Linked DNA regions of Nothobranchius furzeri. The protein of the gene in region 1 purifies or fractionates together with the protein of each later gene. This does not show direct contact. Links are inferred from orthologs where the notes say so. Each region holds a gene or a part of one and is shown on either strand. Other genes may lie near its edges. The genes, in order: cdyl, mier1b and ehmt2.

Region 1 (4,566 bases):
TGTCACAGTCTTCTGGAGTGGATTGGAGCTGTGGAGGCCGACATCAGCTGGTGAGTGGTCCAGTCAGGGTCACGTGTCCAAGTGTTGTGACTACAAGTCGTTCTTCTGTGGTTTCAGTGAGAGCTCATCCAGCAGCTTCCTGTCATCGTTCACCTGTCCAGAGCCCAATGACGTGCTCAGTCATGCTCTGAGCGTGTCCATCTGTGGCCTGCTGTTGCCACACGATGTGCAGCGACTGATCCAGGAGCTCAGGTTAGCTCTCTCACACAAGCACACCTTTACCTGAACAGCTGACGACAAAATAACTCACCTGTGCTTCAGGTGTCACCTGCAGCAAACTCAGCTGGAGTCCTGGGCTTCACTGACGGTTCACGGTTTCATCGATAGTCCAGTATCATGGGGGGACAACGAGCACGGGGTTCTGAGTGGAGGGGAGAACTTCTACAACTTGCTGATGTTCCCTGACCACACCTACCACCTCCACCTGGCCACAGGAGCATATGACACTTGTCCACCATGAGGTGACCTCTGGGTCACATACCCTCTCACCAAGATGAATTACTGTTGTCATAGAAAAAATCTGCCCCAAGACAGGAAATGGGTCAACAGTGCTGCATGGTTTCTTTCTGCATAGCTCCCTGGAGCGACCTTTAACCTTTACCTGAGTTTTTCTTTGGATTGTAACCTTTGACCTCAGAGCAGAATGTTTGTCTCCCGATTTATGAGTAAACCTGAAAATAAAACAACAATTTAACAACAGCTTCCTGTCGTGATCCCAGTGATGCGTTACCGTGGTAACGTGGACATGTGGTGTTACCGTGGTAATGTGGTTCACGTGGAAGTGTGGTGTTACCGTGGTAATGTGGTTCACGTGGAAGTGTGGTGTTACCTTGGTAACGTGGCTCGTGGACATGTGGTGTTACCTTGGTAACGTGGCTCATGTGTGATTAGTGAATAAAACAGTCGTTTTTTTTCCAGAACAGGGAAAAGTTCTGTTGGACTTTATTCTCTATTACATGTAGAAGTTCTGCTGTCAGAACGGCTCTGCTCCATCTGAGCAGAACTTCTTTAGACTGCTCAGCACAGCAACAAATCAGCTGAACGGACTGGTACCGGCAGAACCAAGCCACACCTGCTGCCAGGAGACCAGCACTGCAGTACAGAGTCACATGATCTCAACCTAAGGAAGATACCCTTACCCAGAATTCATCACTGCTAGAGCATGACTCTCCTCTGGACCAGCAGCGACCCGAGGCCCGGTTTAGCCATCAACCTGAAGCACTTGGAGAACTTGACCCAAGCAGCAACGGCCCAGCAAGACAACATGAACCTGCATGTTCTGTAGAGAACCAGGATGGAAAGGTGGAACTCAAGTCTGCTGTGGGGCCTGAGGAACCCGGGATGTGTCTATATCCTGAATAACAATAAATAACCGAGTGAGACGAGACATGTCCACGTCCTGAAACGGAAAACAGGACTGGTCCTGGTTCTAGAAGAGATCGGCTCTTCTCTGCAGATGCTGCAGGATGGAGTCGGTTCCCTGTGAGGATCCCCACACTCTCTTCAGAGCTTCACACTCACGCTCATTGGCTTGCTCCAGGGCACTACGGCTGGCACTCCTCATCAGGCCTTTGGATTCCTGTAGGACCTGCAGAACCAGAATCAGCTTAGTGTGTGTGTGTGTGTGTGTGTGTGTGGGGGGGGGGGGGGGGGGGGGAGACAAACCTGCGTGTTGACAGCCACCAGCTCTTTGACCCGCAGCATCACTTCCTGTGTGAAGGTTCCGGGCCACAGAACCTGGGACACCAGACCTTTAGAGCACGCCTCCATGGCCGTCAGCTTCCTGCCACCCAGCAGCAGCTCACTGGCCTGGGGAGGGGTCAGAGGTAGAGTAAGGGCGAGGAGAAAAAGTCAGAGGAACAGTGAGGAGGAGACTCACCGCTGCGAGACCCATGACACGAGGGAAGGTGAAGGACGCGCAGGCGTCTGGTGTCTGTCCGTAGGACGTGTACGGCGTCTGGAACCAGGCCTTCTCATTGGCCCACACTACATCACAGAGTGGCAGGAGGGCAGCACCGAGACCGAGCGCCGGCCCGTTCACTGCTGCCACGATGGGCTTCCTGAACTGGATGAAGGTATTTACGAAGGTCCTGAAGATAAGGACAGGATGTGAGACAGGGACAAGGTGAGGAGGACATCACTCAGCATCTCCCTGGAGTCACCTGATGGTTTCAGCCATCCTGATGCTCTCCTTCTTCCTGTCGTCTGTCAGCCGTCTGATGAAGGACAGGAAGTCAAGGCCACAGCAGAAGACACTGCCAACTGCACCGAGCAGAACCAGTTTACTGTCATCAGACGCCGCTGTCGCCATGGCGCTCTGGATCTCCTTCATCACCTGAAATAACCAGTCCAACAGTTCTAAGCACGTTGCGGGTGTGGTCAAGAGGAGGCCATGTACCCTGAATTGGCTGATAGATTTTTGTGGGTGTGGTCTAAGTGAATCTACTCACCCTCTGACCACCATGGCATTGTGGTTGTGGCCTTACCTCAGGATTGAGCGTGTTGTTCTCAGAGCTCTTGGTGGACAACAGGATATGAGTGAAGCCATCCTGCTTCTTCACCACAATGTCACGGTAGCGGTAGGCGCTCTCTGTCTGACGGACGCTGAACCTCAGACGTTTATCGAAGGTGGAGCGTTCCTCCAGGCGCCGCTTCCCCATCACGCTGGTTATCCCGGTAACAGCACTGGAACCAGATGACATCCCACTGGGGGCAAAAGCCTCTGTAGGTCCAGCATGTCCTGGAGAGAAAGACTTTGTCATTTCTTACTGACTCATTAACTAGCTACATAAACAAAAGTAGTAGAAACCAGATGAGTCCTTTTATTTGACACTTAACCAATAAAGGCTTCAAATCTCTAAAACGGAATGTCAGGCCAAAGGTGCTGCTGAGACTGGGATTCAAACCGGTGTCATACAGGTAGGTGCACCATACACTAAAGCCTGGTTTATGCTTCTCCGTCAGCTCCGCAATGGACAGACACGCACAGATTGACGGAAGCATTTTGCTCTTTTACTTCTCCGTCTCCTGGAGAGTGTTGCAAAGCAATTGCCCGGCAGGACAGCAGAGGGCGTAGCGCTGTTCTGTGGTATCCTGTCATGTATCGGTCCAAGATAGTGTGTTTGTATTGTGTTTTTTGTGTATATAAGACACTTTTAACATGGACATATTTGTCTCTCATTCTCCCACCGCTTCATGCGCTCCCCACCTCTAAACCCACGTTTCCTGTCATTTCCGTCCACAAATAAAATGCTTGCTGCACATCTTTTCACTCCTCCAGTCACGGGAAGATGAAACGTTCATATTTTTAGAGTTTTTTCGCGAGGTATTCTTCAAGCTTCTCCGTGTCTGCCGCTAGTTATCCTCGGCTCTCTTTGCAATGGCGGCGCTGTAAACAACAGCTGCGTCCTGACCAATCACAAGCTTGCGTAATCCGTCTCGTTCGACAGATGTTTAAAAAAGTGGGCTCGACTCCGTACGTACTTGCGTGCCTGCCGGAGCCCTACGCAAGGACGTTGCGTGTCTCCGCACTGACGCAGGCGGAGAAGCATAAACCAGGCTTTACCCACCACACCTGTCCCAACACACCTATCCCGAGCTGGCCATTACGCGTGTCTGTGGACAGGACTCTTGTGTTTTGTCCCAACGCAGAAGTAATCAGTCAGAATCTCCACTCTAGTGCGAGTGGAGGACTAGAGCAGACATCTGTGACCTGAAGGTCGTGTTCTTATCTGCAGCATGAAACCAACTGCTCTAGGCCTGCAGCCAGGAGGAAGTGGCTGTTAGTGACCTACTTCCTGGGGAGGCGGGCTCCAGATCAGAGACGAGCTTCAGAGGGAAGAGAGGCCTGATGATGAACTTACCCGGCTTTCCACCGGCCACAGAAACGTGGAGAAATGTAAAAGCTGCGTTTTCCCTGCAAGCTCATTCCCAACCGGAAACGATTCTGATGTGAAGCAGGAGCGAAAGCGTTCCACACAGCTGATCCCGTGAGGTCAAAACATAATGGGAGAACTGCAACACTGCGCGTTATTTCATACATCCACACAATAAAACGCTCGGAGAAAGACGACTGCATGTCTCCAAAAAGGCCTCTTCCGTTTGCACCGGCTACGGGGTTTCACAGGAATGAACGTACTGGATGTTACTTTTATTTTGAAAGTTTCCAGATGTTTTACGCTGCTTTTGTGTTTGACTTCCTGTCTGGCTCGATCTGAACTGTGGAGTTTGCCGTGTTTGAAAGCACAGCGTGTAAAATATAGACTTGAAACGTAACAATGGCATACATTCCTTCTGGGACATGTCCACAAAGCCACCTGTGGCTGCTGGTGAAGGAACCCACTCACTTCATTGGCTACTAGTTACCGTGTAGTACGTTTCTCATCCGGTGGAAAGAAGGGGTTAGTTTCCATCCTCCTGTCTGCACGTCCTCACCTCAGAGTCTGAGAACTTGTGGCTGAGACAGCAGTTACAGCTTAACCTGGTAAGCGCTTTTCATGCAAATGC
Region 2 (5,141 bases), about 35 Mb from region 1:
GTGGTTTAACCTTCTGAATCCAGAACTTCAGAATTATGATCGGCTGACTTCTGAAACACCTCTAAAGGGTTTCTTCTCCAGATAGCGTGTTTGGTTTTCTGTTAAAACGTGATTTCAAACCCACATAAGTATTTAATTATTATGGTTGTTACGATTATTGTGACGTTTTCTTACTTTAACTGAAAGGCACCATCAGTTTGATCCCTGTCTGTATTTTAGGCCTTTAGTTTAGCGTTAGAATCCAGACTAGGACGACCAATGAAAATGGATGTTTCCAGTTAAGGTTGCTCTGTTCCAGAATATCCTCGTCACCTACATCGGAATGATGTTCGGCGGAGACTACATATTCACCTGGACCAACTTTTTGGGTCTGAACATCAGGTAAGAAGAACATAATCGGGCTTCATTAGAATGTGGGCTAGATCTTACTTGCCTTTAAAGGTGAAAAATGTACAGATTATATCTTATTAGGGATGTAAGAAAATATCGATATGGCAATATATCGTGATATTTTTTCCAGCAATATTATATTGATTTTCAAAAGCCGTGTTTCGGAAATATCGATATGGCAATATATCGTGATAGTGTTTCCGGCAATATTATATAGATATTCAAAAGCCATGTATCAGAAATATTGATATGGCAATATATCGTGATTTTTTTTCCAGCAATATTATATTGATTTTCAAAAGCCGTGTTTCGGAAATATCGATATGGCAATATATCGTGATAGTGTTTCCGGCAATATTATATAGATATTCAAAAGCCATGTATCAGAAATATTGATATGGCAATATATCGTGATTTTTCCCCAGCAATATTATATCGATATTCAAAAGCTGTGTATCGGAAATATTGATATGGCAATATATCATGATATTTTTTCCAGCAATATTATATCGATATTCAAAAGCCATGTATCAGAAATATTGATATGGCAATATATCGTGATTTTTCCCCAGCAATATTATATCGATATTCAAAAGCTGTGTATCGGAAATATCGATATGTCAATATATCGTGATATTATTTCCAGCAATATTATATCGATATTCAAAAGCCGTGTATCGGAAATATCGATATGGCAATATATCGTGATATTTTTTCCAGCAATATTATATCGATATTCAAATGCCGTGTGTCCGAAATATCGATATGGCAATATATCTTGATAGTTTTTCCTGTGATTATTACATCGATACTCAAAAGCCGTGTGTCTAATACTTGAAAGAATTTACATGCAAACATTTGTGTATTTTCTTTTCATTTTGTGCAATTCAATCGCCGCCCGCTAGTTGGCAGCAGTGTGCAATAGGTTTTGTTTCCACCATTGAAATGTAAATCCCTCCATTATGTTCAAATACCTCATGTTAAACATGTTACGTATCAGTTTGGACTGTTTATTGAACATTCTTACAATATATTCAGTAAAAAAAACTGCTTATAACGTCTGACTGAATGTATCTCAATATATCGTATCATCTCCCCTGTATTGTGATATGTATCGTATCGCCAGAATTTCAAAAATGCACATCCCTGTATCTTATTATAAAATATGGAATCCTGTTAGTGCCACTCCGAGAGAAAACTAAAGGAAAGAAGAGATTTATTTGCTCACCAAGATGAACACTGGTGCAAATACAGGCAGAAGCCATCGTGCCTGGTGTGAATGAACTATGGTGACCTCATGTTATTGGTTTCTTTCAGCATCGCTGGTAGTCTGGTTTACTCCTACATCACCTTCACACAGGAACACACACGTCAGAGTAGGTAGGAGCCAGAATCCTTTATTAGAATCTCTAATTCAGCTTTTAACATTTCGTCTCTTCCTGAACAGAAAAGTTGTAAGTCTTGGAGTAGCGTCATGATGCTGAAGAACCACCACGTGCTCTTTTTCTGTTTTAAATCAACCAAGAATTTTTAATGAAACAATATCAGCCTTTTGTAAATTTTTATATAATAAATGTAATATTTTATCTCCTACTGTGTGTGTGTGTCTCTTCCTGTTTGGACCTTAAAACGACTCACATTCATCAGTACATTTATTAAATACAAAGTTATTCCATGAACGTTAAATTCTTGGAAGTTTTGTCATTTATGCAGGAAAAACACACATTTAAATCAGAAAAGGCTACGTGAAGCAAACAAATCCAAAGCAGAGTACAAATTAAACGGGGACAGGTCGTCTTCCGCGTCTGTCGGCTGAAGCTTCTCGCTCAAACGGGCCAGAAGAATTTGACTGTAAACTGAAAGGGAGTGGCGTTTCTGCAGCAGACCTCCACACGCAGCAGCGGTACTACCAAAACCAGAGGAATGGATCATTTTATTTTACATTCAGCTCTTAAGTTTCACCTCTCTGAAGCAAGGCCTACGAGGAAGACGAGAAAATACGGAGATGAAGATTTTCTCCGAGGAGAAAGTAAAACTGTTCCAAGGTAAGAAATCTATACAAACGTTACGTGTAGAGTCACAAACTTTCGGTCTAGTACAAACAAAGTGTTGAGCAAAGCGTGGACTAGGAAAATACAAACATCTACGTGTTGAGTTATAATACAGGACATCACTGATGCCAGCTGCTTTTCACAAACAAACCAGCAGGGGGCGACTCCTCCCCACGGTTTATTTACCACCACCAAACAGCTGAGACGGGAGGAGTGAGCGGACTCTGCTGGAGTCAATCCTCATCACAGAAACCTACAAAAAGTGCAACTACAGCTGTGCCCACCCTTCAAGCCCTCCACGGATCCGGCACCCGCAATCCATCCTTAGATTTGTCCTTTTGGTTAAAAAATATAAATATCTCATGTAAAAAAATATCACGCTTTTATTTTAGTAGAAAATGAAAGAAATATTCTTCGCTAAAATTTTGCTGCGCCAACAGCTGTTCTGGAGAAATGTAGATCTTTAGTGAGACGTGACTTTGGGAGGGGGTGGGGTTTGGTTGGCTGCTTTCCTCCAGCTGTGGTTTCAGTACCCTTTGGACCTCCTACGATCAGAGAGCTCACGAGGTTCATCCTCCGCTACACGACCCAGTCAAGAGTCTCACTGAGTCTTGGAGCCTTCAGTCCTCGTGTGTTCTGGATGGGTCTGCCTCGCTTTGCTCCAAAGGTTCTGCCTCCGTCCTGCACCTCTTGGCAGGCCTGTCAGGCGCCGCGGCTGGCGTGTTGGTATGGTCGAGCGGCGGCTCCAGGGAACCGTTTCTGTCGTGGCTACAGCCGTTGGAGTTGTTGTCTGGAAGGGACGGAGGAGCTTCTGCTGGATGAGAGGAGCCATTGGACTGAACTCTCTCTGGTTTGACTGGGTTTGCTGGGAGCACTGGAGCACCCTCCACTGGGTGACCTACAACACCTGTCAAAGAAACAAGATTATTGGTCAATAACAACAAAAAGGTCGCAGGTCAACCGAAGAAACACCAATAGTGACCTGGTGATTCCACGGTTGGTGACAGTAAGGCTTTTATCTTATAATAGTCGCGTTTCCATGATTGGAACTTGTGTGTGATGTAAATGTGCTCTGAGACAACAAAGCCCCGTGAATTATAACCATCGTGATGTTTTGTGTGGTCTGCTCACCGTTCTGACTGCTGCTGTCCTCCCTCTCTGACTGACTGGTGCTGCTACTGGAGGTGGTGGGAGGAGGAGACGCCGCCCTGCTGGAGGTGGCGCTCTCCGACTCATCCAATAGTCTGTCCATGTAATCTCTGAAACAGAGCAGTGCACACTGCTTACACACACACACTCACACACATCAGGCCAGTTCTTTAGAGAAAGGTGTGTGTGATCCCTTCCACAGAACCATTTCCAAACAGATTCAGAAAAATCCGGCCTGTATTTAATTACGATTCACCGGACAGAAAACAGTTTAACAACTACAAATAAAGCTGCGTTCAAGAGATGTTGGAAATGTAACACACTGCCCCCCCCCCCACCCCCCCCCCCCCGCGCGCGGTTAGGGCGAACGTTTGGCTCTAGGACAGAGGACTTACGTGACACCAGGATGAAGGTTGTATTTCCGTTTTCCGAGTCTGGTTTGCTGTGCAAAGAAATCATAACGCTCAGACTTCTTCCACATGTAATAAAAGGCCACACATTCTCCTACAGACCTAGTTCTCACCTGAAAGATTTAATTCAGCACACATAAAAATGACCATTATTACAGTCATTTCCAGAGGAAAGTTAGACAAAATTCAAATCAGACACAAAACAAATGATGACTTTTACAACTACAGATGTTTAAAGGTCTCGTTCACTCATCATTTCAATAAATCTGCTGTGCTCTCTGGTGAATGAATGCCTTGAGTCCTAAGAGACACAACCATCCGGCTGCACTGTGTGGATATATATATAAATATATATATATATATATATATATATATATATATATTAGGGCTGGGACTTGATTAAAAATTTTAATCTAATTAATTACAGGCTTTGTAATTAATTAATCTCAATTAATCGCATTTTAATCGTTCAGGAAAATGTGCTCTCAAAGTAAAACTTTTAATTAAAATTATGAGATAGAGAATCAAACATTAGACATGGTTATTACTGTAAACTAAAGCTTTTAATAAAAAATGCATTTTAATTATTCAAATGTCACTGTGTGATATGAAACAAAACCCAAATAAACTAAAATTTATAATTACAAATAGAAAAGACCTGCAAAGGGTTCCTGAGACTTTAAATAGTCTCTCTGTCTAGTTGAATGACTGAAATAAATTTGACTGCACCAGATTCTAATTTTTCCAGTTTTACTTGTTTGTATAATTGGGAGATTTTATTAGCATTTCTACTCATAATGTAGTAAAAACACATAAATAATAATCCTTCAAAATGACAGTAGAGCAGGCACAGATATGATCTAGGACTTAAATGAGCTAACTTTTAACACCAGAGCAGGCATGGCATATTCTGCGAATGATCAGGAACACTAACTGGTTCCAGTTGGATGACTGGAGGTGGATGGGAAGATAAAAGATCATGGCGATGAAATAATGATCTGACGAACAGGTGAGCGGACCTTCCTTACATGGGAAGTCCTGATGTCACGTTAAGAAGGGGATGCTGCAGACCCGCAGATTCCCGCCAGCAGCAGCGAATCTGGTGTGATCTCCAGCCTGAACACAACTTCCTCGTTCCTCG
Region 3 (5,890 bases), on another chromosome or scaffold:
ACAAGATTTCAGGAGCATTTTCTGAGTTTTAAAAGACATGTTGGTGTTGCAACGATGTGTTTAAGAGATATAGCCGAATCAGGAGGCAAAGATTGGCTCATTCTGCCATGCAACACCTGAGCAGAGTGGTGCCAACTGAGACTTCTGCATGAAAACTAGTTTTCTGATTCAACCAAAAGCTGCAGGTCGGTACGAACAATCCAAAAACCAGCTGAAGTGATCGGCGTACATTGAATTAATTTAAAAACCACACAGTAGAAGAGGACCTGTAATTACGAGTGCTGGAGAACAATCGGAGGAGTAAATATGATCGAAGTTTAGAACTTACCTGTTTCAGAGTCAGTAGAGAAGCAGGTGGAGGAACCCGACGTAGCAGGAGTCTCAGCGTAACTCACCTGTCGAATAAAAAAATGCTAACCTTTCAGAAAAAGTAAAACAACAAACAATTGTGGGAATAAAAATGTGTAACAGAAGTCATTACTTGGCCGGGTGAAGGCCTGTTCATGGTCTTACGGGCCCGGTGGATCTTGTGTGGACTCGGGGAGACAGAAGGTGTCAACGAAGCTGAGCCAGATGAAGAGGAAGAGGAGGAGGAAGAAGAGGAGGAGGAGGAGGAGGAGGAGGAGGATGAAGAAGAGGAAGAGGAGGAAGGGCCAGGTGGGAGGACGGATTTACAAGAAGACGGCCCGGAAACGCTCATCTTTGCCCGACCAGGGGAAAAAAATGAAGAGGTGGAAGGATAAGATGACATTGAGGAAATGGACTTTGCTGCGTGACCTGTTAAGAAGAGATACAAACTGTTACTGAAGATGAAAAAACATGTTACTAAAGATTAAACTAAGCGATCACTACGTTAAAAAAACAGTCAAATTTTAATAATTCTCTTCAGAACCTGATTAAGTCAGGAGCTTAGTCAAAGACTGGTTTTGAGTTTCACCTGCAGCAGGTTTGTTAGGTGGGGAGGAAGCAGGAGAGCGCTGACTTCCATCCTCAGCAGCGCTGGAAGTCTCCTTCTCAGGATGACTGGTCATCAACTCCAACGACACACCATCCACTGGATCTGTAATGCTGGCAGCATCATCTAAAAAACATTCAAAACAAGTTATTTTTAGTGACAGGAAGTGAAACACAAAGAGACACATTAATGAATTACATTTGTAATTAAATGAAATAAATTGTACCTTCATCAGCAGCTTCTTTTACCTCCCCTGAACCTGCCGTTGACTCGGTTAGTGTTTTTGTCTCATCTTCTTCAAGAAAATCCTGGAAGTGAAGAAAAACGTGTGTACTTCGATTTATAAAGATTAAAACTATTTATCTCTAGTATTTCATCCTGTCAAACTTTGAGCTACCTCTAAAACAGATTTTGCTTCCTAACAATTCCTTTAAAAACTGCAATTATTTCGGCCGACTAAAATAATTTAGTGGAAAAACACCTTCCTTATTCGTCTTATTTGTTTTCACCAGTAATTGCTTTTTTTTTTTTTTTTACATTCCAATTGCATTACGTAGATTTAAAGCTCTTGAAACTAAACCACCCATCAGCATTGCTGGAAGCTATTTGTGGCTTTAAAATAAACAAAAACAGTTAAAAAAAAAGCTCCAATTTCAGAAAATAAACACGTCAAACAGAAAGAACCAGTCTGGGATTTCTATGTATTTGTCTTTTTGTCAGTATGAATGCCTCATAAGCACATACATTCTTGTTGACCACTTCTTTACTACAGGAGACCATGTTTAGATGTTGATTCTTGAACATACAGTGGTGTGAAAAACTATTTGCCCCCTTCCTGATTTCTTATTCTTTTGCGTGTTTGTCACACAAAATGTTTCTGATCATCAAACACATTTAACCATTAGTCAAAGATAACACAAGTAAACACAAAATGCAGTTTTGAAATGATGGTTTTTTATTATTAAGGGAGAGAATAAAATCCAAACCTACATTGCCCTGTGTGAAAAAGTAATTGCCCCCTGAGCCTAATAACTGGTTGGGCCTCCCTTAGCAGCAATAACAATAGCAATCAGGCGTTTGCGATAACTTGCTACGAGTCTTTTACAGCGCTCTGGATGAATTTTGGCCCACTCATCTTTGCAGAATTGTTGTAATTCAGCTTTATTTGAGGGTTTTCTAGCATGAACTGCCTTTTTAAGGTCATGCCATAGCATCTCAATAGGATTCAGGTCATGACTTTGACTAGGCCACTCCAAAGTCTTCATTTTGTTGTTCTTCAGCCATTCAGAGGTGGATTTGCTGATGTGTTTTGGGTCATTGTCCTGCTGCAGCACCCAAGATCGCTTCAGCTTTAGTTGACGAACAGATGGCCGGACATTCTCCTTCAGGATGTTTTGGTAGACAGTAGAATTCATGGTTCCATTTATCACAGCAAGCCTTCCAGTTCCTGAAGCAGCAAAACAATCCCAGACCATCACACTACCACCGCCATATTTTACTGTTGGTATAATGTTCTTTGTCTGAAATGCTGTTACTTCTACGCCAGATGTAACGGGACATTTGCCTTCCAAAAAGTTCAACTTTTGTCTCATCAGTCCACGAGGTATTTTCCCAAAAGTCTTGACAATCATTGAGATGTTTCTTAGCAAAATTGAGACGAGCCCTAATGTTCTTTTTGCTTAACAGTGGTTTGCATCTTGGAAATCTGCCATGCAGGCCATTTTTGCCCAGTCTCTTTCTTATGGTGGAGTCGTGAACACTGACCTTAACTGAGGCAAGTGAGGCCTGCAGTTCATTAGAAGTTGTCCTCGGGTCTTTTGTGACCTCTCGGATGAGTTGTCTCTGCACTCTTGGGGTAATTTTGGTCGGCCGCCCGCTCCTGGTTAGGTTCACCACTGTTCCATGTTGTTGCCATTTGTGGATAATGGCTCTCACTGTGGTTCGCTGGAGTCCCAAAGCTTTAGAAATGGCTTTATAACCTTTACCAGACTGATAGATCTCAATAACTTTTGTTCTCATTTGTTCTTGAATTTCTTTGGATCTTGGCATGATGTCTACCTTTTGAGGTGCTTTTGGTCTACTTCTCTGTGTCAGGCAGCTCATATTTAAGTGATTTCTTGATTGATTGTGATCTTAATTCCAGGTAAATGCCACATATCCAACTCTAACTAAGCCTAATAATTAGAGCCCATTCAAATGAATAACACAGGAGGTTTAATAAACTATTATTATTGATTTGAAAATACAAATAAACTATAAACAGCTAACAAGATGTAATTTACAGCAAACTTTCTGGAAATCTACATGATTTAAAATAACGTTCTAGCATAAAAAGTAGTCCATACACTACAAGGATTAATAAACTAGCTTAAAACCAAGTTATTATTTAAATGATACAACAAAACAGCTAGCTAGCTTCCTAAAATAGACTTTCATTCGCTTTTTAAAGTAACATTGCACCTCAAGAAAATAATTTGCAGATTATGTAAGAAGTCAAACGACCATAAAAAAGCACCATAACTACTCGTTAATTTAGTTAACATAACACTAAAAAGGCTAACATTGGCTAGCATTAGCTTGTAATAAAAAAGGTATAAAACCCGACAAGTACAAACGTATGCTTGTTGCAAATGACAGTATCATTAGCACAGATTTGCTAAATAACACGATGCATCTACAAGATAATAAATGAGCAATATTTCAATAACAAGCCCTTTGAGTTCCAGTACGTTTGCTACCTTTGTCGTTGTCTGGGATGCCGACATGTTTCCCAATGAACGTAAGGCACATTTTTGAACGTGCTACGTCACAATTCGAGTTCCGCCCCTTTCGGAGTCCATTGATTTTAAATCGCTGATCAGAAATCAGCTGGCGTGCTCTAAATTTACGGTTTTCTGAGGGAGTGGGTCCAAGACGTAAACCGATTCAAAGTCAGTTTAGTGGCGAACCGCTAGCGGTTTGTAGTTTGTTGTCACGAGAAGTACTTCCTGCTAAAAAAAAAGGGCCCAAAAGTAAACAGAAATCGAGGTTGTGGCTGAGAAATGTGTCGAATGTGTTGGTCAGTTAGCGTATTTTAACGGCCGTGCTGCTGAAATAAACCCGGAATTCGCGGGAAAAGATGAACGACCAAGGTGAGTTTCGGCGAAGTTTGAGGATAATTGTGGAGTTTCGGCACCTGGTTTCCAGATGATACAATAGTGGATAAATATAGCCATCTGTTTTATAGTAGCTAACAGGAGCTAACGCTCAGTTGGTTCAGCTAGCTGGGCTAAAACAAAGGATTTCAAAATTTTCATCTATCTAAGCCAGTTAGTATAATAACGCTAGTCAACAAAAGGTTATAAAATATATGACAAGTTAAACCATTCATGTGTGTTTTTTTCGGCCTTTTTAAACGCCCAGTCATGGAAGGGAGGCTACTTTTTCACCTTCCACTTATGGTCACAGCTGTGAGAGAAGATACCATCATCGCTGGATTACAGAGCTGTAATATGTTGGACAATAAAGTAATCTGTTGCTGAAAGAAGTAATGTTACTTTACTTTTCCTGAATGAAAACAGCACTAGCTAGCTCTCTGGTATGGCCATAACATTTCTATTTAAGTTTCTTTATGTAGGTATCAAATGTATCTATAGTCAGGAAGTGTTTGTGATAAATAGCAGTGTAATAAACAGTTTCACAAACACCTGTTCAAAATTTAATTAGCATTAACACTGTGTAAGGAAAACTATTGTTTTATGTTAAAAAAATTATAACTACTTGATACCTGTTGTTTTTATGCTTTATAACATTAGAGTACAGTAAATGTTTTTTTCTTCTATACATATTCTTAGTGCTTTTAATTGTTTATGTTGGAAAATGATAAGCTGAGTAACAGTTTTAAATGTTGATCTAATTTGTTAAAGAGAAATAAAGTGATCCAAAACAAACTGGTCCTCATATGGGAAAAGTAACTGACCCCTGCCCACCCTTTGCCATTGCAGTCAAGCATTTGTATACTGAGTCTCTTGCATCACTTTAAAGGAACTTTGACCCTCTTCTTTACAGAATAGTTTCATTTCAGCCACATGTGGAGGATTTTCCATCACGAACGACCTGTTTCAGGTCAATGGTCAGCTATGTTCTTTATGGCTTTACTGGTAGAGAGCAGAATTCCTGGGTTTAAATTATCCAGATCCTGAGGCGGTGCCAGACCATCACACTACCACCACCGTGTTTGTCCTTATGGTGAAGCGTTTGTTTTTAACACCAGTTTTCAGACATTTTGCAGAAATTGTCCTCTTTTTGTTTCTTAATCTCACAAAATATTCCCCCAAAAGTTTTGTTGGATATCAGGATGCGAGACAAGCGGATGTTTTGTTCTTGAACTAGGAACGATGTGTGGTTTTTAGGATCTTCATGTGAAATCCTACTAAAACCTACTGTAAGTCTTGTTTAGAAAAGCTCTTTCCCCTTTAACCTCACCCTTTGAAAACTGCGCTTTTGTGTTTATTTTTGCTAGTTTGTTACAAGAGTCTAGAAACATTTCTGTTGTTTCGCCTTTTAGAAAAGATGGAGATGGTGTTGTTCCGGTTGCCCGGACACGGGGACGTGACCCTGAAGCACATGAACTTACTCAGGTCTCGCCAACATTTCTGTGACATCACCATCGTGGCCAGCAACAATCAGACATTCAAAGGACATAAGGTGGTGCTCGCTGCCTGTTCGCCCTTCCTGAGGGATCAGTTCCTCCTGAACCCGTCACGCAGGCTCCACGTGGGTACATATAGGTACATGTTAAACTCTCTTTTGCAAATTAAAAATGTGTTTTTATGTTCCTCTTTAATCCAGGTCTCGATGCTATACAGCTCCTCGGTGGTGTGTGATTTGCTGCTGTCGTGCTACACTGGTTTCCTGCAGTTCAATCCAGAGGAGATAGTCAACTATTTAACTGCT

What was found.
Region 2: the proteins of cdyl (region 1) and mier1b purify together in Homo sapiens (co-immunoprecipitation; 3 studies listed by BioGRID and IntAct, counting the BioPlex papers as one, with this or other methods). This does not show direct contact. The link is inferred for Nothobranchius furzeri from reciprocal best matches to the Homo sapiens genes CDYL and MIER1.
Region 3: the proteins of cdyl (region 1) and ehmt2 purify together in Homo sapiens (affinity purification with mass spectrometry; 4 studies listed by BioGRID and IntAct, with this or other methods). This does not show direct contact. The link is inferred for Nothobranchius furzeri from reciprocal best matches to the Homo sapiens genes CDYL and EHMT2.

The regions. Positions count from the first base shown.
Region 1 is NC_091751.1:33,809,828-33,814,393, reverse strand, and holds the end of cdyl (chromodomain Y-like protein), read right to left. Parts: intron 2,801-4,566; coding exon 2,547-2,800; intron 2,396-2,546; coding exon 2,223-2,395; intron 2,151-2,222; coding exon 1,940-2,150; intron 1,870-1,939; coding exon 1,726-1,869; intron 1,649-1,725; coding exon 1,490-1,648; 3' UTR 1,303-1,489; downstream 1-1,302. Other genes in the region: rpp40 (ribonuclease P protein subunit p40), read left to right, coding at 1-50, 118-252, 322-520.
Region 2 is NC_091751.1:68,470,699-68,475,839, reverse strand, and holds the end of mier1b (mesoderm induction early response protein 1b), read right to left. Parts: intron 4,114-5,141; coding exon 3,986-4,113; intron 3,701-3,985; coding exon 3,573-3,700; intron 3,349-3,572; coding exon 3,062-3,348; 3' UTR 1,869-3,061; coding exon of another isoform or gene 1,838-1,868; 3' UTR 1,771-1,837; downstream 1-1,770. Other genes in the region: nucleotide sugar transporter SLC35D2, read left to right, coding at 299-381, 1,708-1,770, 1,838-1,868. UniProt on the Homo sapiens protein: Transcriptional repressor regulating the expression of a number of genes including SP1 target genes. Probably functions through recruitment of HDAC1 a histone deacetylase involved in chromatin silencing.
Region 3 is NC_091759.1:8,508,567-8,514,456, reverse strand, and holds the start of ehmt2 (histone-lysine N-methyltransferase EHMT2), read right to left. Parts: upstream 3,793-5,890; 5' UTR 3,721-3,792; coding exon 3,694-3,720; intron 1,264-3,693; coding exon 1,182-1,263; intron 1,082-1,181; coding exon 938-1,081; intron 778-937; coding exon 482-777; intron 396-481; coding exon 329-395; intron 1-328. Other genes in the region: zinc finger and BTB domain-containing protein 12, read left to right, coding at 4,074-4,086, 5,502-5,710, 5,786-5,890. UniProt on the Homo sapiens protein: Histone methyltransferase that specifically mono- and dimethylates 'Lys-9' of histone H3 (H3K9me1 and H3K9me2, respectively) in euchromatin.